Drosophila melanogaster: one gene and its partners. The protein of the gene in region 4 interacts with the protein of the main gene of each other region in a pairwise test. Each region holds a gene or a part of one and is shown on either strand. Other genes may lie near its edges. The genes, in order: Cdk5, CG32772, CycJ and E5.

Region 1 (4,193 bases), on a different chromosome or scaffold from region 4:
CACAGTCTCAATAAAACTAAGCCTTTATTTTGTAACTAATAGTACTGTCAATCCTTGGCAGCTTCTAGAGGAGCTTGCATTGAAGAACTCCTGGAAACTTCTCATTGAAATCCGCCGGTAAGGTTGAATCTTTTCCATAACCAGGGAAAACGTACAACTAATTATTTGGCTCGGCCATTTAAAGTTATCTATCTCAGCTGGCATATCAAACTAGTCATCAGTCTACAGCTTCGTTCCTTGGCAATCAAACTCAATCAAAGTAAATTGAAACTGGATCCGAGTTAAAAGTGATTTTTGGATGCTTCATGTGCAACTTGAAAAGCCTATGTTCCCCTTGCACTTTCCAGGTCATGGGGATGGGATCCTGTAATGAAAAATATTAGAAACGAAAGCTAATATAAGTTGTGAAATACTTAGACCTCATTAGACATGAGATACGTGTTTAGTTCCACATAAATATTAAGTGCTGTGGTACGGTTTTCTCCCAGTTTCTTCGCATCGAATGTGAACTCCTTAAATCCGAAGGTGCAATGGTATATACCCAGGACCTCGTGTGTGTTTAGGTTTTGTATTAAGGTATGAAACTTAATTTCGTCCACACAAACCGAATTTTGTATATAAAATTCATTGACATTAATGTGAAGATGCTGATACGCATGCATACCAAAATTAGCCACCTTTAGGGTCTTAATAGCCACATTTAAACCGTAAGTTTCACAAAATATGGATGTATTTTGGCTTATCTCGATCATATTTATAGTGCTTCTCTTCGCAGCTATGAGAATCTCTCTCAGAAATCCGTATCTAACGTGACCACAAAGAAATAGCTTCTTCAAGTGAGTTAGACGTTCCAGTTTCGATAGGAACCACACCATCATTTCCTCCTGGAAGCACTGCAGCTGCTCTAGGTTTCTAATCCCTTTCCAGGGCAGTTCTGTGTTCGAAATCTGGTCAATATCGAAGATACCCAGCTTCAGGGATTTTATTTTTCTGGTTTTCAGGATCTGTATCAAGTTGGTGACATTGAATTTGCTGCAGTAGGAGACCGTGAGGTTCTCGAGAAACTCGAATTCATCAAAGTGTTTGCCAGTAAACTTTCCATGGGGGCTAAAAGTTGTCAGATTTGGAAAAGTTTTCAACATTCTTGGCACGTCCGCATCGTTTAAGTTAAACGAATGCGTGGAAAATCGAAAATCTTTAAGTTTTGGAAAACTACAGCTGGTAAGTGTTTCGAAGTTAGATCTATTATTCATTTTGAGCCGCAGAGTGCTGAGGATTTGTTGAGTACTTTCCAGGAAGAATAGCAAATCCTTGTCGCTCAGCTGCATTTCAATCAAGGATATATATGCACATTTGTTATAAGCACGCCACACATACGGCATTAATTTCTTAAACCGGAAATGAAAGTCTTTCAGTTTTAGTTGGGTCTTCAAGTCGAGATAACTTAGAATTATCATTAGAACATCATCGGGCAGACATAGTAAGCCAGGCTTGGTATTCTGCAAAGGGCAAAAGAAATTAGGAAACTTGTATACTTATATTTCTGCTATATTGTTGCATTGCGGTACCATAAGATCGGTGTTTATCATTGTCGGTCTATATTCGTATGTTTAGCTAATATCGAGTCCAAATAAAACAATAAAATTATAACAAAAGTTTTATCAACATTTTTAAAATGATATCTGTTAATTTTGAGTATTTTTGGTGACAGCAGACTGTCAGCTGCGATGTTGGTTAGTCACCGCGTGCTGTAAGCGAATAACAGTGTGCTGTTAGGCGCACGAATCCCTGGCCAGCAAAAACAAACTGCAAAAACAATAATCCCCGGAGTTTTCCATCTGAACGCAAAATAATACACACCAAAACACAGCAAAATGCAGAAGTACGATAAAATGGAGAAGATCGGGGAGGGCACCTACGGCACGGTGTTCAAGGGTCGCAACCGCGACACCATGGAAATAGTGGCCCTGAAACGGGTGCGACTGGACGAGGACGACGAGGGTGTGCCCAGTTCTGCCCTCCGGGAGATCTGCCTGCTGAAGGTCAGTCGGACGAGCAGGAAGTGATTCCAGTTTATAAACTAAATCGGCACATTACCATCCGTAGGAGCTGAAGCACAAGAACATTGTGCGCCTCATAGACGTCCTGCACTCGGACAAGAAACTCACCCTGGTCTTCGAGCACTGCGACCAGGACCTCAAGAAGTACTTTGACAGCCTCAACGGGGAGATCGACATGGCCGTCTGCAGGAGCTTTATGCTCCAACTGCTCCGCGGACTGGCATTCTGCCACAGGTATACCTATATATGTATCAGCACTGGATTAGGTCTTATCTTGTGTCGATTATAGTTAGAATCAAGTGTTATTTGGAGTAACTTCATCTGTGGCACATTTCCGAATGATATCCATTTTATAGCATTGAGACTTAACTTACGCTACATTATCCTATTTTAGCCATAATGTCCTGCATCGCGATCTGAAACCACAGAACCTGCTGATCAACAAAAACGGCGAGCTAAAGCTAGCTGACTTTGGTCTCGCTAGAGCCTTTGGCATTCCCGTGAAGTGCTACTCCGCAGAAGTGGTGACCCTGTGGTACCGACCACCCGATGTCCTATTTGGAGCCAAGCTCTATACGACCAGCATAGACATGTGGTCCGCTGGATGCATTTTGGCCGAACTGGCGGACGCTGGACGACCGCTGTTTCCTGGCTCTGACGTGCTCGATCAGCTGATGAAGATCTTCCGTGTGCTGGGCACCCCCAACGAGGACTCCTGGCCAGGAGTTTCGCACCTCTCCGACTACGTGGCGCTTCCATGTAGGGATTCTAGACGGATTTTATTTATCGATACCAATATTAAAAGCCTATTTATATTATAGCTTTTCCGGCCATCACCTCGTGGAGTCAGCTGGTACCTAGGCTAAACTCCAAGGGACGCGACCTGCTGCAAAAGCTGCTCATCTGCCGGCCAAATCAGCGAATTAGCGCGGAGGCGGCGATGCAGCATCCCTACTTTACGGACAGCAGCTCTTCGGGACATTGAGGTCGGAAGGTTCTTTCCAAGCCACTGTTTTCACGACCTTTGATTAGACTTAAGCCAAAATGCGAGACTTTGTCCAGCAAAGATCTTTTAATTATATATGTATGTCCTTGCAGTAGAGTTCGATTATAGTATAAGATAAAAAGTTCTTTATAATTTCATTAGTTTGATTTACCAAAGCAAAAGGTTTGATTTATGACAATCCCTACCAATGTGACACTTAATATAGCCATTTGAGCTGCCAAATTAACATTTATCGATAAAATACTTATTGATTCAGTAAAATAGTTTTATTCTTAAAAATTTTTATGTTGAGTGTATCGTTAAGATCCGAAAATTGTTCAAATTCCTAGACGATATCTACTGTTTGTGTGAATGTGGAAAAAATATTTGAAATCCTAGTTTCTGTTTTCAAAGACTAAAAACTAGGCAATACATCTGGTTTCCAAATTTAATGAGTGTCGACGATTTTCTTATTACATTTATTGTGTATTTTTAAGAATTTCGATCTTTCTGAATGATATGAGTCATTAAGTAAATTAGAATAAAAAAAATTGAGATGTAACCTAGATTTTTAAACCAATAAAGACACTTACCGCAGCACTACGTCGTCGCAGCATGATGAATATTTTGAAGTGGTCGCCTCAACCCCCGGCACTCAATAGGGGTTAAAGTCGTTCTGCGCACTCGCGAGTTAGAAATTGAGAACTTTACAGATTGAGAGATTTTTTTATTGTGCTACGAATTGCTAACCGAACCGGTCGGATTTCTGAATCTTAAGCACCGAGTACCTCGGAAATTCTTTTATATATATTATTAGACGAATAAACAAGGCTACCTGTGGATCGGATAATTCGCTATATAGTTAATAATCGGAAAACTGTGTTAACCGCGCAGATAAAACAAAAGCTGTTATCAGCAGCAACCCATTTTCTAATATAAATAACAAATAAGTGCTGCAGAAATGACTTGGGGATTTGTAACCTGCGGCCCCAACGAGGCTTTAGTTGTCTCTGGTAAATCACACGATCCTTATATGCTCAAAATAATGTCAAATCGATTAAATAAATAAGTCAGTGAATAAAAATGAAATTGTCACGCACACACACATATATATACACCCCACCCCAAGTGACGTCACTATCGATTTT
Region 2 (7,613 bases), on a different chromosome or scaffold from region 4:
AATGTTGATTTTTTGTAATGGTTTATTAAAAAAAAAATAAAAACACTTAAGCTAATGCCTAACATAAATACATACCGAATTTAATCGAATTGTTTTTCACTTCTTGTTTTCGTTACTTTTCTCTATGCGTAATTACTATCAATTGTAGGTAATTTGTATTTGCTTTCTGTTTTTTTTTTTTTTTTGTTTTTTCAACATTATATTTTCCGTTTCGCTGCGCCTTTGCATTACAATAAAATTTTAATTCGATTTAAGTTTTACAGATTTCTCAACCCGATCTCATGTTTATATAATATAATGTATATATAGATGTGGGTGTTATGTGCATAATTTTATAAGTCAGTTGTGTTTTTGTCTGTCCATCTGGTGCTGCTGCTTTTTCTCCTTATCTCTTTCGATGTCATGCATTGCTGCTAATATTCTTGGAAATTTATTCAGGGGCATTTGGTTCCTCTATTGCTTTGGCTGCTGAATTCAAAACAGGAAGTGGGAGACAGACACCAAACTGAACCAGCAGCTTGCCGCCGACTCTAAATTCGGGATGTTTTGGAAGTCCACTCGCCGATTTCAAGATAATTAAGTGGATTCTGATACCCAAAAAGTTGATGCTGAACTCAATGCGAGAGTAGGACAAGTGCATCTCAGAAAAACTAAAAGCTAGCTTTAATCGATGAACTCGACTAACTCCCCCATTCCATTCTGATTCAGAATTCAAGGACGAAAACGCTTCCTACTGCCTGTTCCATACCTTTTTTTCACCAATCCAGCATACGCTTAACTCCACGGGTAACGCATATAAAGAATGATTTCTACATCAACTTCAGACACCCAAAAGTATTTAGAGATCTGCAGAGACTCCAAAACATCCGCGCCATATATCTAACATATTTTACGTGTGTATGTGCTGAATGTGATGCTACTTTGGCTATGGCTATGCTAATCAGGGACTTTAGCAGCTGATCGTTCGGGGCTTAAGCTAAAAGAGACCTTCTTTCCATTCTTAACTAGCCTACTTAGTGGGTATGAAACGCGCCTTGACCGCCTGTCCCATCGGCAAGTGCAGCAGTTGCTGCTGCTGCGCCGCCTGCTGCTGTTGTTGCGCCGCCTGCTGCTGCTGTTGTTGTGCCGCCTGCTGCTGCGCCTGCTGCTGTGCCGCCTGCTGCTGCATGTGCTGATTGATCTGCTGCTGGATGGACAGGCCGCTGACATTGCTGATATGCTGGCTGTGGAGCGATTCGTTGATCTCGATCTTGATGGCCGTGGCGGCCAGCGTTGTCGCCTTGTTCTTGTTCTTCGGCGGACGCCCACCTGGATATGCAACGAAAGGCGTAGTGAGATTCAAAGTGAATGAGTGAATGGTGAGCACTTACGTTGCCCTGTCGTGTGCTGCAGTGACAACGGCTGGCCGATCATCGCCAGCGGCTGTTGCGACGTCTGCAGCGTGCCCGCCTTCTTGGATCGCTTCGGAGGCGGCAGCTCGTGGTGGGCGTGATTGGTGAGCAGGTGCTTGGAGAGGTGCTGGCGCACCGCAAAGGACTCGGCACAATTGGCCACCGGACAGGAGAGGTAGCGACCCTCGACATGGCGCTGCACGTGCTTCTTCAGCAGCGACTCCTGATTGAAGCTACTCGGGCAGATGTCGCACTTGAACTTGAACTCGTCGTGCATCTTGAGGTGCTGGTCGAGATGGGCCTGCTGCAGGAACTTCTCGTCGCACTTGTCGCACTCGTACGGAAAGGCCAGGCCGTGGGTCTTCATGTGCGTATGCAGCTGCGACTGCAGTTTGAAGTTCTTCTCCGGACAACGCGGACAGTAGTAGCCGGTGACCCCAGCGTGCGCCTGCAGGTGCTGGTTCAGCGAGGTCACCTGCGTGAACTTCTTGTTGCACACGTTGCAGCAGTACTGCTGCACCTTGTGGTGCGACTTCATATGGTTGTTCAGGTTCGTCACCTGCAATGCGAGAACATATCGAGCCGTTATTATCATAAATCCTCTGCAATTTATCAATTTATCTTGGAACTGACCTGGGCGAAGCTGCGACCGCACTCCGGTTCATTGCAAACGAAGGGCCGTTCGCCGGTGTGCAGCCGGCGGTGATTGTTCAAATTGGTGATCTGCGTGAAGGTCTTGCCACAGTCCACGCACTGATATGGCCGATCGTTCGTGTGGATGCGTTCGTGGTTCCGCAAGTTGGCCGCCTGCGTGAAGCCTGAAAATCCAAGAGGTACATCGATTGTTAAGAACCAGATGATGTGTGCGAACGGCATATGGGACTCACCTTTGTGGCAGTAGGTGCACACAAACTTACGCTCCGCCGAGTGATTTCGTATGTGCGTCATGAGCGAGGATTTGCGCGAGAAAGTTTTGTTGCATAGCGGGCAGGAGCCCTCCTCGTTGAATATCAGATCCACCTTAAAGAAACAAATCGAACATTAGTTGCAAAGGGCTTGCCTTCTACCGCGGGTTACCTTCCATCAGAAAGGCATTATATATGATATGCCATTTTACTTTAATACAACCTACTATAAATTTATGCGAAAAACCTTTTTTCTAAGCTGTACATTATATATGCATATAGTTCTAACGAATAAGTAGCCAAGTGCACATCACTGTGTCACTATCGCCCTCCCACTCCCACTCACGCTCAACAAGCTGGCGGCCAAAAGAACGGATTGCAAATTCCCGTGCGAATTCAGTTTGTTTATTGGGGAATCACTTGAGTTACATTTAATATTTTTCACGAGCTTTTTTTTTATTATAATTATTTTATTTATTTTTCTGCGTGCCACGCACACCCACACACCAAAAGCGCCAACTGAAAATGAATTTTTTCCGCTTTACACAGCGCACAAAAACGCCGAGCTGCGTCGACTTCGACGTCGACGTCGACAGAGCAGATATTAATGGAAAAAGAAGCACAAAATATATGTGTATATACATATATCTATATATATATATATATATACATATAAATATAAAGGAAAACAAGAAAATGAGCAGTGCGAAATGTAGCAAGTGGAATAGAAAATACTCTCACGCTCAACACTTTTCTAACCCGTTTGTAATGCATATCTGTAGGGCCTACCGTTTTTAATCTTCTATAAGAACTTTCCAACACTACCACGTCGACTGTGTGATGGAATGAGACTGTACTGAAGTTTTTTTTTTGAAATTTATGTAAATAGCAGCAATAGTAAATAGTATCTAAACATGTCTGCAATAGAGCATTCCCAAGTCGTCGCAAGGCAATTTTACATTTATTTATACATTTTTTTTTTTTGCAATTCTCTGTTGCATGATGGAAAAAGAAAGGCAACAAGAACATGCAAAGAAACGGCGAAATAAGAAGTGAAGAAGAAAAGCAGCGGCTATGAATGTGCAGTGTGTCCGTGTGCATTTATGTATATGTATATGTAAGACTTTTGTGAGCGGGGGAGTAGTAGTGAAATGTAAGAAAATGAAGAGAAAATAGCACAACAATAATAAACAAGTGCAGCAAAAGGAGCAGGAGTCGAACTCCCTGGGAAGTAAAGCACTCTTCTGAAAACGGTTGATGGGGGTCTTCAAACCCCTATAATTCCAAATGCAATGCATCTACTGAGGATTGCAGTGAACTCTGTAATTAGGTTTAAATTGTCAATTTTTTTGAATCATTTATAGTTTGATGGGCAATTGCATTGATTGGATTCCTAAACCATAGAACACTTTTCGTGGACTATTAAACATTAGGATTAAATTTTAAATTTATTCATAGATATTAATATACATATTCAAGACGTTCATATTTTAGTTGAAAATAAGAACGACCTTCAGTTATTTACTTTATTTATCTCCTTTAGTAAGCCCTTTGCAGCACTGTATTCGCTGCCACTTCTTGCCATGCCTCTCGTAACACTACACGTAGTGCAACCCACTCACTATGCCCTTTGCAACACTCTCCCTGCCTTGGTATCCCAATCCCTGAAATGGACTTACGTCTTCGGAGTCGTCCTGCGACTGTAGGTTCTCGGAAGAACTGGATGATTGCATTTGCTGCTGTTGTTGTTGTTGCTGTTGCGAGTTCTGATGCTGCTGCTGCTGCGGATTCTGATGCTGCTGCTGCTGCGCGATGGCGTCGCTGTCGCTGGAGGAGGCCGTCGACGAGGAGGTGGCCGCCGCTGCTGCAGAGGCGGCAACTGCGGCCGAGGCAGAGGCAGCGACGGCTGCAGCGGCCGCCGCCGACTGATGGAAGTTGGAATTATTTGTCAACTGCTCCGAGCAGCGGACGCACGTGGGTATGCTATAGCCGGGCACCTGGAACAACTGTAGGGCGGGGGAATAGAATAGAACAGAACAGGACACGTGAATTAGAGAGTGCTTCCAATTGGAAAAAAAAAACCAATAATGCTCTTTATTTATTGTGGCAACTCAATCTTATTCCACACATACCCTCCCCCTTCCATGCCAACTAGCCCTTTCTCTTTTCCACCAACTAGAAATAAGAGCCAAGAAGATAAACACACGCACACACACAGGCACGCACACATGGAGAGCGAAAAAGAAAGAAAAGAAACTACAATAACAACAGCACCAGCAGCTCGTTGCTTTGTTGTTGTTGTTTTCATTTCATGTTATTTTTTTTCTTCGGTACAACGTTTTGTTATTCTTTCGCTTTTTGTTTTGCTTTGCCGCCGCTCTGCCAGCGGCGGCGGCAGAGGCGTCGCCTACAAAAAAGGGGTTATTTGGTAATTGTTTAAATAATGAACTAAAAACCAAGCAAAGTTAGATCTGTTTTGTTAGTTTTATAACCGCTTAACTTTAAATTTTTGGGCTTAGATGCCCAATATAGTAAACCCTCTGTCACTAAATTAACGCGCAGCCACTGCGTATTTGGCTGCCTTGGCGCAATTTCTGTCATTTTGTTTTAATATGTATTTCTTTTTGTGCGGTTCATGGGCGGCGGGAGGGGGCTGAAAGAGGGGGGCCTGTTCGGGGGAATAGGTTGAAAAGGAGTCAAAGTGAAAAGCGAGTGGCGAGCGTAAGCAAAATGTAAAAATAATATTTTTTCAAGTTGTCGGCTTGAACAACTTTTCGGGCTGAGTTGGCTAAAAATAAAAATTGTTCAGCAATAGTTTGGGGTCGCATGTGTATGTGTATTTCTTATTTCTGTGTGTGTGCGTTTGTATGTGTGTGGGGAAAGGGGGGCAATGCGCGCGCTTTTGAACCCCGCCCCCTGCGCCAACAACCCGCCCGCACAATAACAGTAGCGCGAATTCAATTGTTTAAACTCCACCAAAAGAAAAAAAATCAATAGAAATAACAAAGTGTATATACCTAAATCACATGTGTGTATATCTTTTTTTTTTTGTTAACATACCGTTGCCGTTTGGAAGCACAATCTACAGATGGTGTCCATTATAACAGTAAATAAGGAATAGGATGGGGAGCAGGAGAAGGAGGATGCACTTTGTTGCTGACTTTTGCCCCCTCTGCGGTCGTTGTTGTTGTTGTTGTCGTCCTTCTCCCTCGCAATTTACCGCTATCTTTACCGGTTAACATTCAGCGCCGTTTTTCTTTTTCGTTTATTATTATTTAGTTCGTTTTTTTTCTATCTTTTTCCTTTTCCTTCCTACTATAAGTTTGTGAACACGATCCAAACGATGTGTGGTTGTATTTGAAACTAACTTTTTGGAGTTTGGTTTGCGTTTGGATTTCGGTGATCGCTATATGGCATATTATGATGGCAAAAACAAAAAAAAAACTATATAAATGATATAGAAATTTGATTTATACGATATTTTCGTGGTACACACACACACGCGCGTTGTTTATGTTTGCCTTGCACTTGCACATACAAGCAAAAATGCGGCGCTGTTGTTGTTGCTGCTTCGAAGTTCTGCTTCTTTTTTTTGCTTAATTCCTTTGCCCTTTTTTTGGCGTAGTTACACGTGAAAAAAAAAACAAACCAGCGCGTTCGAATGCGTTTTTTTTTTGTATTTTACAATTCACGACGAAGTTTTTGTCCGTCGTCTTTTTTCCCTTTTTTTTGGGGCCCGATGTTATTGTTGCGCTGTATGCGTGAGCCGTGTGTGTGTATGTGTGGGGAAAAAACGAATACGATAAGAATACGCGGTATAGTTGTGCTGCTCTAACCCACAGGTTGGCTTGGCCGGTGCTCCTTGGCCTGGCCTATCGATATTTCTATCGATTTCCGTAATCGAAAACGAGGCGGGTAATGGAATCGTTGTTGAAAACAAGTTTTTTAATTTATTATTTATTTAATATTTAATTGCAAGTCCGAAAGATTTATTTTATCATAGGTTATTTTATTTAAATAATTGATGGTGTTTTTTAGGCAGCCATAGAATCATGAACTTTATTTTACAACAGAATAAATATAAAATCATTTTACAGAACAAAGTGAAACAAACATAATACAAAACTTTCACAATAATTAAACAAACTATGCTAAACGATGGGTACAAATAATAAACACTTTAAATTGGATACTTTTCACAATATTAAATCTACTGTGTAATCTAATAATAAAATGAAATGGACCTTTTTTTAAATACAGTAGACAAATGTCCAGAAAAACAGATTAAAGACGAGAAAGGAGAGCGGAAAAACGAATCTGGCTCGACTATCAATCCACATGGCTATTTCCTGGGGCGTTAGCGTGGTCCAGCCACTCAGATCGATCTCCTCCTGGTGCCCCGCGCTCTCCGTTCGGTTATTGTTGGTCAAAGTTTGGCTGCTGCTGGCAGCACTGATCGCTCCAGTGGACTGGGCAGAGCCCATGGATCCAAAGGCACTCTCCACAAAGTTAACATCCATCTTCTGGACGACGCGGCTGGTCCTCTGCTGATCCAGAACTTGGCCCTCCTTAATCGTGGTGATGGGCAAATTGACGGTTAGGTAATTGTTGAAACCGGCACCGCCCAGCGAGCCGGTATCCGCTGTCTTATGCAGAGCCGTGCCCGAAAAGGATCTGGATCTGGCGTGACTGCGTCGTCTGAGCAGATTCGGCGATAGAGTTGACTTCAGGATGTGTTTGCTGTTCAGTTTCTTGACGGGCACACTCTTCTTACGACGCCAAATCGTGTTAACAAAGGCGAACTCCACCATGCTGCCAAATATGAAGATGGTGCAGCCCAGGAACCACACCTCTGACACCTTGATGTAGCTAACCTTTGGCAGAGTCTTTCCCTGTGCCGAGGCCAGGGTAATGAATGTCAGCAGGGTGCTGGTGCCCAGCGTGATGCGCGGCGGCGCCTGATCTGCTTGCAGCCAGAACGATACCCAGGATATGGCCACAATCAGCATGGAGGGTAGAAAGTAGTCCATCAGGTAAAAGCCAACCACTCGCGTCAGGTGAACGGTGAAGCTGAGGGAGCTGTAGTTGCCGGCAAAGGCTCCATGACGCAGGTCACTCAAATCGGCATTGATTACCGTCTCGTTTGACCAGGAACGCTGCAGCACAAACTCGGTGAGATGCAGTGCCCCATCGTAGGTTATCGGACGCTTCTGCTCCCAGTGGAGGACCAGTTCCGACGTATTGTACATCCAACTCTCCAGCACCGTCGAGCAGTGCTGCTCATCGAATGGGAACTTCTTAAGGTTGAGCCAGCAAT
Region 3 (4,000 bases), on a different chromosome or scaffold from region 4:
TCCATCCAAAAACGTGCTGTTTTCAATATACTGCGCGGTGAAGCGGAGAACATTCCTTATGTGCTGTTTGGGCCTCCGGGCAGTGGAAAAACAATGACACTTATTGAGACACTACTCCAGTTGGTTAGGAATCTGCCTGGTGCCCGAATCTTGGTGGGAACGCCGTCGAACAGCTCAGCGGATTTGGTGACAAAGAGGCTCATCGATAGCAAAGCTTTGCTCCAGGGAGATTTCATTCGCCTCGTTTCGTACAATCAAGTGGAGAAAGACTTGATTCCTCCGGAAATAATGAGCTACTGCGCCACAAGTGATGTCGGTGCTGTGGGCAGTTGCGAGGACAAAGTGAGTAGAAAAATTTTATCATTTGGATTGGACACCAATTAATCTTGGCTTTGTTGATATTTGCTATAGATGATGGTCACCGAATCGGGATTGAAGCTTCGCTGTCAAGCTAAGTTTATAGGTACTCATCGCATTACCATCTCCACCTGCACTACTTTGGGAAACTTTTTACAATTGGGGTTTCCAGCGGGCCATTTCACTCACGTGCTGTTCGATGAAGCTGGTCAATGCACCGAACCAGAAACAATGGTACCCATTGTAATGCTAACGAAGAAACGCTCTCAAGTTGTTCTCTCAGGTGATCCTCGCCAGCTGCAGTCTATTGTCACCAGTCGAATTGCCTCGAAAATGGGATTTTCCATATCCTTTCTGGAGAGATTGCTGGAACGGTCGCCGTATCGAAAAGATCTTCAGCGATTTCCCGAAAGCTCCGGCTACAATCCACTAGTGCTAACCAAATTGTTGTACAATTACCGAGCATTACCGTCGATTATGAGCATTTATAGCAGGCTATTCTACGATGACGAACTGATCCCAGTTCTTTCCGAAAAGGATTCAAGGGAATCTCGCCTACTAAGTAAACTGCGGTGTGTATTTGAGTCAGAAAAGGATATCCCTCAAGCGCACGGCACGTTCTTTTACGGAATCATTGGCGAAAACAGGCAAAATAACGATTCCCCTTCCTGGTTCAATCCCCAAGAGGTCAGGGAGGTGTTCCTAATGACCATCGCCCTGTACCGTGCCAATGTGACTGCCGATCAGATCGGTATAATCACGCCCTATCAGAAGCAGGTGAAGATGCTTCGGAGTATGTTCATTGGCACCGACGTGGTCATGCCGAAGATTGGATCCGTCGAGGAGTTTCAGGGACAGGTGGGGTCGGAACTAAAATCGATATTACGTGCACACTTAACGTTTGTTATTTCCAGGAACGAGACATTATACTAATATCCACGGTGCGTTCATCAGAAGAGATCCTGCGCATGGATGCCCGCTTCTCCTTGGGATTCGTGCGTTGCAGCAAGCGACTTAACGTGGCCGTTTCCCGAGCACGTGCCATGATGATCATCTTCGGGAATCCCCATCTTCTGGCCGTCGACGAATGCTGGCGCCAGCTAATCCTGTTCTGTGTCAAAAATAACGCCTATTTTGGCTGTGATCTGCCTCAAATGGTGATAAATCAGAAAGATGAGGTCCCCGTTTGCTTGGAAACATTCGTGCCTTCACTGAATACTACAGATGATTTGAACTAAGCACATATGACAGTTTATTATTAAATTAAAACACTTGTTATTGATGAATTAAAGTAACACAATTAATCATTAAACTTGTTTTAAATATTTGTACATATGTGCTAATTTTAGCGAATGGTAACACTCCCAAGCGCAGTCTGGGAACGCTGCTCGTTTGGCTTCGCAGTGTGGTAGCACTGGCCGGAACCGTTGTAGCGCCATGTTTGCGCTCCTTTTGTTTTCTCCTTCATTTGTTTTGCTTTTTTCCGCCGTTAAGTTCTTGCCTTAAAATCGGTGATTTAAGGCATTGCATTCAATTTCGATACAATGGAGCAGAAAGTGGCTGCCGAGCAGAACATCTTCGTCGTCGACCGCAAATTGAAGAAAACTTGCCCGCAAGCAGATGTCGAGGTGAACGGACATGTGCTTAACTTTTGCGAACCCGACTTTATTTCGTTAAATACCAATTTGTAGCGCCTGGCTAAGACGCACTGGCTCACCGACTATGCCCGGGATATATTTTTGACCATGAGGGAGCAAGAACTCAGCCGTCGGCCTTTGTTTTACCTTTCGCCGCAGCTGAACGAGCGCCGAAGAATGCTGCAGTTGCTCAAACTGGCGACCAGCGCCCACAAGCTTAGTCGCTGTGCTTTGCACCTGGGTGAGCACTGTACAGAGGAGCCTCGCTGCAGGCACAAAACCCATGTGCACAACTCATTGTAACTCGTTTCACTCCAGCCGTCTACTATATGGATCGCTTTGTTGATTACTACAAAATCCGTCCGGACAAATTGCTCCTGGTGGCCATCACTTGTCTTCATATAGCTGCGCAGATCGAAAACACGGATGCGTTTATTCCGCGCTACAGCGAAATGAACCGATTGGTCAAGAACGCCTATACGGCATTCGAGTACAAGGCTGTGGAAAGGAAGATCCTGTGCTTCCTGAACTTCGAGCTAATACGTCCCACCACCGCCAGTTTTGTGGAGCTCTTCGCCTGCAGTTTTCTCACTCGCTCCGATTTCAAGAACTACATCGAGATGTTGGATGAGTACGAGCGGAACCATCACACCCAGCCGTACCAGCGATATATAAGCTTCGAAGAGATGCTGTCCATTTTGGCGCAGTTGCTCCTTCGCATGGCGGATTATACATTGTACAGTGAGTATCGAATTCCCATGGAAGGTATTGGATACCACTTAACACTCATTCAGTTTCCAGATTTGCCAACGATCTGCCATCCCTTTTGGCTGCCGCCTGCATTGCTGCAGTTCGCCAGGTCAGCGGGGTCAGGCGCTGGTCGGAGTACCTAGTTGGACTGACCTCCTATACTGAGGCGAATGTCGAGCCGTACATGAACGTTCTGACCGACTATTATTATTACCATGTTATTCAGACCGACTACGGTAGTCCCTCTGTTCAGACCAACCAGAGTTTAGCCAGTCCCGATTCCGGATTCGAGGAGTCCTTCACTGAGAACACAAACCTGGTGGTCTCCGATGAAGTGGTCACAGTAGAGACCTACAACATAATTACCGTGCAGCTGCAGGATCCATCTCCACATTCATCGACTTTCCTTCCCAAAGAGCAAACGAATTTGAAGCGATCGCGCTTTGAAGACGATACCGAAAACCAGCACCCATTGAAACACGCCAAAGTGGAGAGTGTAGCCAAAGATTAGTAAAAGGGAAAAACGAAACTATTACCATTTGGAGGAAATCCAAATAGCTTAGAAGTGAAATGACATCCATAACGTAGATATGGTCTTGTTCAATTGAGTTGAACCTCACCCATATAATAATCGTGATGTTATGCTTTAATATATATGTATTTAATATATATTTGAAATTATCTTATAAACTTATAAATACAATATGTCAAAAACTCAACAAAAATGATGCATTAACTAAAAACAACGAAGACATTATTTATAATTCGCTAAAGAACAATGCCCCTTGTTTAATTTAATCAGACGTTTGCGGGAGCTTTCAAATTAAAAATTCTTATAACTATAAGGGTTTACAATTCAATTTGGAATGCCAAATTAAAGATGTCAGTTAAGGAACAATGAAAGGGTCATTAAGGCTTTCTTATTTTTACATAGGTTGTATGACTTAAGATCGAGTTTTTACAAAAAAGAAACGAGATAGATTTCGGAACTCAAGCAAACTTTGGACAGTTCTCAATACATTTTCAGCTTCACAAATGCAAAAAGATTAAAACTAACTGCTATTAGAAGTTAATTGATTGTCCAAAGAATACTCTTCGTTCCTTAGATTTCGTGTCGTTACAATCGAATCAACTTAAACATGGATGTTACTCTTTACACTTCAATTTGACGTACGTCTCATATATCTAGCCTAGCCCCTAAATGCACAAGGCGGGAATGCATCGAGGAAGTTGAGGGAATCGGTGACGGAAGGAAT
Region 4 (4,652 bases):
TGGAAAGGAGATGGGAAAGAGTAAAAACCAATTACAATTACCGCACCCAGAGGTGCCACACTCACAGATATAGATATATGTATACGTGTATACATGAGTGCATCTGCGGCAGCAAAGCTGCTGCCCCACCGACAAGCAACGGCCTTATCTAGATGCATACAAATCCAGCCAAGCGCACGTCAATTTATTTGCCAACTCTCGCCTCCTTTCTGGCCAACATCCATATCCATTCATGGCCAAAAGGAGGAGAATCGCATGTATTTACCTATGAGAAGGCTGCGAAGTTGGCGCTGCATGTTTTATGCCTCCTCCTGCATCTTTAACGAGGTGTTTATTTTCACAACTCACAGCCAGCGGATGAGGATGCGGATAGGGATGGGGATGGGAATGGGGATGGGGATGGGTATACAGATACTCGGATGACCACGCACAGATACAGATGCAGATACGTTCCCTTCCCAGCACGCTGTATCTGTATCTGTGAGATTCGCGCAGTTGCAGCTCGCCGAAGGTGTAGAAACCAAGTTACCGCCCATTTTCGTGTCCAAATGCTTTTGGCCAACATGATGCAGATGCCAATTCAGAATGGTAGAATGGCCAAGCGGCGGGGGGAGGGAAAGTGGTTTATAGCCAGCACTGACGACGGGGCGTCTAAGCTATATAAGCGATGACGTTGATTCCACTGCACAGTGGTATCGGCTCGATATCCTTTGAAAAATGCGTATTTTCTACTTTTGAGTTATGTACAAATTTGAACACTTTTTAATATCGATTTTCCAGTAGATAGTAAATAATTTAATACATGAAAACAATTTAAAAACGGTTACTGATGAAAGATAAACGTTTAAGCCTTAAATATTTCAATGAATAAATACAATTCAATTAAATAAAGTTTCAATTTTTTTTTATTGTTAGTATTTGCATAATTAAAAGAGGGCACAGTTCGCTTTTCAATTTTAAATGTTATATTTATTATATTTATTTTTAATCATCGAAGACCTACTTCCTATCCACTGTTCGGGTGCACCACCCCCGTTCCCCCTCCTACGCTCCAACAAACTGGCCAACCCGCTTGGCACTAAAACCACAAACGCTTTAATGATGCTGTTTTGTTTAGCGCAAATTGTTTGTTTCGCTGTCATAAACTGGTGCGAAAAATGGCCAAGAGAGCGACAGAGAGAGAGAGAAAAAGAGAGAGATTGGGGCCCCTCACACACCCACACACCAACAAGCCCAGAGAGCGGGAGAGCGAGCGAGAGAGGAGGTGGCTCCACTTGGAGCCAAGCAGGTTTTCGGAATATCCACTGAACTATTGTTGCGCTGCTTTGGCGCACGCGCACCGAGCCACGTGTGCGAGCGAGACGCCAGCAGTATTGCTGCGCTGGAAGTACAAGCAAAGGAAGAAGAAGCACACTCGAACTGGCCCCACAAACTTTTTGCGGCTTTTTCCAACGCGACACTCGAGCTAAAACGCTCAGCGTGAGAGCCACGCAGCGATTCGCCGACGCCCCCGCCAAAAATCAGGACAGAAAGAGAGAAAGCGAGAGAGAGACAGAGGTTGCGAGCGGCGAAGTGGAGCCAACAATTAGACGCCTTTAGACGCTCCATAATGCTAATGGCGTTGACAGTGCTCATCATCATCGCAGCGCGGCCACCGCAATCGTTTCGTTACCGGGTAGCCGGCATAACCGTTAACCGTTAACTGATACCGCCACCGCCACCGTCAATCGCCAATAGTCAATCGCCAACCATCAATCGCCGCCGTCAATCGTCCAGCGAAGCGGTACGGTCACGCTCCAATCGCCGCGTTGCCGCCGCTCCAGTTACAGTTACAGTTTATCAATGTCACGCCGACGGATGCCAACCGCTGGAGCATCGCAGATACAACGCTACGTAGCTATATAGCTATAGCTATCTGATCGGAAAAACAGTGCGTGTGTGCTTATCTGATATCTAGTAACCATTAACCGATGTACGCGATCATGTTTCCATAGCACCAACCCATTTATTGGGAGCTTCGATCAGTACAACCCTTTTTCCGTTTCCGTTTCTATTCAGTTCAATTCCATTTCAATTTCCATTCCCTTTGATTTTAGTAGGATTTTTACCGTTTTATTTTATTCCTAAAACTTTTAGTTGAGCATTATTCTTTTATTTACTGATTTATCCCGTTCGAAAATACAAAATTTTTTTTTTCAAAAAAGTCAAATATGGAATGGAAAAAATGGAATTTAAGGCCTACAAGTGTTCTTATAATCTACTTCGACTTGCAGAGACTTCGAATCGGGAAGTTTAAGAGGAGGGAAAGTGATTCATTTGTTTTTCCAATCAACGAAACCCCTACCAAATGGTCACCTGCGGCCGGCAAACGTTCAACATGCTGCCCATGGCGCCGACGAGTCCTTTTGTGAGCAGCAGCTCCTCGGTGGCCGCATCCTCGACTTCCGTTTCCGCCAGCAGTACCGTTTCCGCCTCCGCGAGCAGCAAGCCCAAGCTGGCCTTCAGCATCGACTCGATTGTGGGCGAATCCTCGACGAGATCGGCTCCACTAAGGGTCAGTGTGATATCTTCGCCGCCGCCGCGCAGCGAAAGTCCCGCTTCGCCAACGAACACGAACAACAGTGGGCGCCGGACGCCCAGGGGCTATATCTACTGCCGCAGAAGGGATTCGCTGGATCGATCGCGCAGTCCTCAGAGATCACCGGTTAGCCGGTCGCCATCGCCCCCCAATGCAGGAGGCAATCCGGCAGCGGCCGGGAATACTGCAAAGTCCGGGGATCCATCGTCGGGAACGGGAAATCCTCCAACCCTCATCCGTCCGTTGCCTCTGCCGGCGCCAAATCTAGCTTTAATTGGGAACCGCACCTCACCGAACGCCATGGCGGTGCGCATGGCGGGTCCGCCCCACCCGCCGTCGCAGCCACCGCCGTTCCTTGCCGCCCAGTTCCAAATGGCTGCTGCACTGGCTCATCATCACCAGCAGCAACAGCAGCAGCAACAACAGCAACTTCCGCCCGTGCCAACTGGACCGCCACATGGTCCACATCCGCATCTGCCGCCCGGCCAAATTCCACTTGGAATCTTTCCCGGCGGACCGCATCCCGGGCATCCTCCGCCCCACGGACACCATCCGTTCGGGAGTGCGCCGCATCTGATCCGGGATAGCTATCCGTTGTATCCATGGTTGCTCAGCCGACACGGACGCATTTTTCCACGATTCCCAGGCAGTAAGTAATCACACTGTTTTAAATATATCTATTGTTTATTACAATATTTTCAATAAGTTCAGAGTTCAGAGAAGCTAACCGGTTTAGCAAGCGGTACTTTCATATGTATATAAAACCGCTAAAAATTATTTCTATAAATTGAAAAATATAATTTTTATGCATAATCATCTAAGCTAACAATTATTTGTAATAAATTTACTGCAAAATTAATAACAGTTTATATAACAATAATACATATCATTTAATTTAATATTTACCCTATTCTGATAATAAGAGTACATCTCTCTTTTACGGATTATTAGAAAGATAGTTGTTACATATATATTTTTCATATTTGAACATTAGAATATTATGATAGTTTACGGTCGGTTTCTTCTTCTGGAGATAGCAACCACCCCTTTTGTTGGTTATTTTTCGCTATAACGAGTTTTCCGCATTCATTATAGCCGTTTCAAATGGCCGCTGAGTGTTGCGAGCGACAGAGAAAAAGAAACCACACCTTAAGTCATATTCGAAGCCCAGCACCATTATAGTAGAGAGGACCCCAATCAAGCAATTATTCAGTTATCGCTGTTGTTGCCGCGCAGCTCCATATAATTAAAGTTAAATAAGCAAATGGCAAACATTTATTACAAGTTAATTAGACGTGTATCGGGCTCATCATCATCAGAGGGAGCGGGACGGAGAATGGGAGCGAACAGGAAGGGGGGAATGTGGAGGGAACCGAACCCATTTTGATAACTATTTCCAAACAAATTACATTTTAATTAAATTGTTTAAACAACATTACACACATCGTTAGGTCAAGCAGCGTACCTAAATGGCCAGCCAAGTGTGTGAGTGTGTGTTTAGCATTTATTTGCTCTATTTATACTTTTTCTCTTCACTCGAAATTACCATTAATGGCCAACAGACGGCGCCAGTTACTCATGCGGCGGGCCCATGCGGCGTATGTGTAACGTACGAAAAGTGCAACCATTGAAATGTTAATGCGTTTTTAATTGAGGTTTTGGGGCAACCAAGCAAAGAACCGAGAGGAATGGTAAAAAAAAAAAACTGGCAGATAGAAGCGAAGAGCCACCGCAAAGCGCATCTCAAAAACATTGTCATTTATTACGGTTTAACCACTTTTTTCTACCATTCCGCTGCTCTCATGATTACCATTTGAATTTCCAGGCCATGTTGGTATCCATGTTTTTTTTCGGCCGGTTAAATATAATAATAATTTTCGGCACACTCACACGCCTTTCACCTGCTTAAGTGTACATGTATCCCCGTTACGCCTTAATTATGTTGTACTCCGTTTCATTATTTTCTCCCTTTCTACTTGTTTTCCCATTTCCCGCCGCTCCTTCTCTTTTTTCTCACTTTTCTCCGCGCCGCCTGTAATTTTCGCTTGATTTATGAACGTGAAATGTCAATGTT

The links.
Region 1: the proteins of E5 (region 4) and Cdk5 interact in a two-hybrid assay, tested with the Drosophila melanogaster proteins (one large-scale study listed by BioGRID).
Region 2: the proteins of E5 (region 4) and CG32772 interact in a two-hybrid assay, tested with the Drosophila melanogaster proteins (one large-scale study listed by BioGRID).
Region 3: the proteins of E5 (region 4) and CycJ interact in a two-hybrid assay, tested with the Drosophila melanogaster proteins (one large-scale study listed by BioGRID).

The regions. Positions count from the first base shown.
Region 1 is NT_033778.4:15,568,984-15,573,176, reverse strand, and holds Cdk5 (Cyclin-dependent kinase 5), read left to right. Parts: upstream 1-1,759; 5' UTR 1,760-1,874; coding exon 1,875-2,042; intron 2,043-2,106; coding exon 2,107-2,294; intron 2,295-2,454; coding exon 2,455-2,819; intron 2,820-2,881; coding exon 2,882-3,045; 3' UTR 3,046-3,638; downstream 3,639-4,193. Other genes in the region: CG30466 (uncharacterized protein), read right to left, coding at 251-364, 420-1,499, 3,639-3,662; Flo1 (flotillin 1), read left to right, coding at 4,007-4,058. UniProt on the Drosophila melanogaster protein: Probably involved in the control of the cell cycle. Interacts with D1 and D3-type G1 cyclins. Possible regulator of neuronal differentiation and/or development.
Region 2 is NC_004354.4:4,907,541-4,915,153, reverse strand, and holds the start of CG32772 (uncharacterized protein), read right to left. Parts: upstream 6,053-7,613; 5' UTR 5,835-6,052; exon of another isoform or gene 5,703-5,834; 5' UTR 5,396-5,702; coding exon 5,357-5,395; intron 4,303-5,356; coding exon 3,976-4,302; intron 2,774-3,975; exon of another isoform or gene 2,643-2,773; intron 2,412-2,642; coding exon 2,279-2,411; intron 2,210-2,278; coding exon 2,025-2,209; intron 1,951-2,024; coding exon 1,371-1,950; intron 1,309-1,370; coding exon 1,010-1,308; 3' UTR 1-1,009. Other genes in the region: CG6927 (uncharacterized protein), read right to left, coding at 6,547-7,613.
Region 3 is NT_037436.4:3,464,638-3,468,637, forward strand, and holds CycJ (cyclin J), read left to right. Parts: upstream 1-1,790; 5' UTR 1,791-1,901; coding exon 1,902-1,985; intron 1,986-2,048; coding exon 2,049-2,235; intron 2,236-2,312; coding exon 2,313-2,735; intron 2,736-2,788; coding exon 2,789-3,255; 3' UTR 3,256-3,461; downstream 3,462-4,000. Other genes in the region: armi (armitage), read left to right, coding at 1-342, 412-1,215, 1,272-1,595.
Region 4 is NT_033777.3:13,871,875-13,876,526, reverse strand, and holds the start of E5 (E5), read left to right. Parts: upstream 1-1,610; 5' UTR 1,611-1,930; intron 1,931-2,273; 5' UTR 2,274-2,347; coding exon 2,348-3,227; intron 3,228-4,652.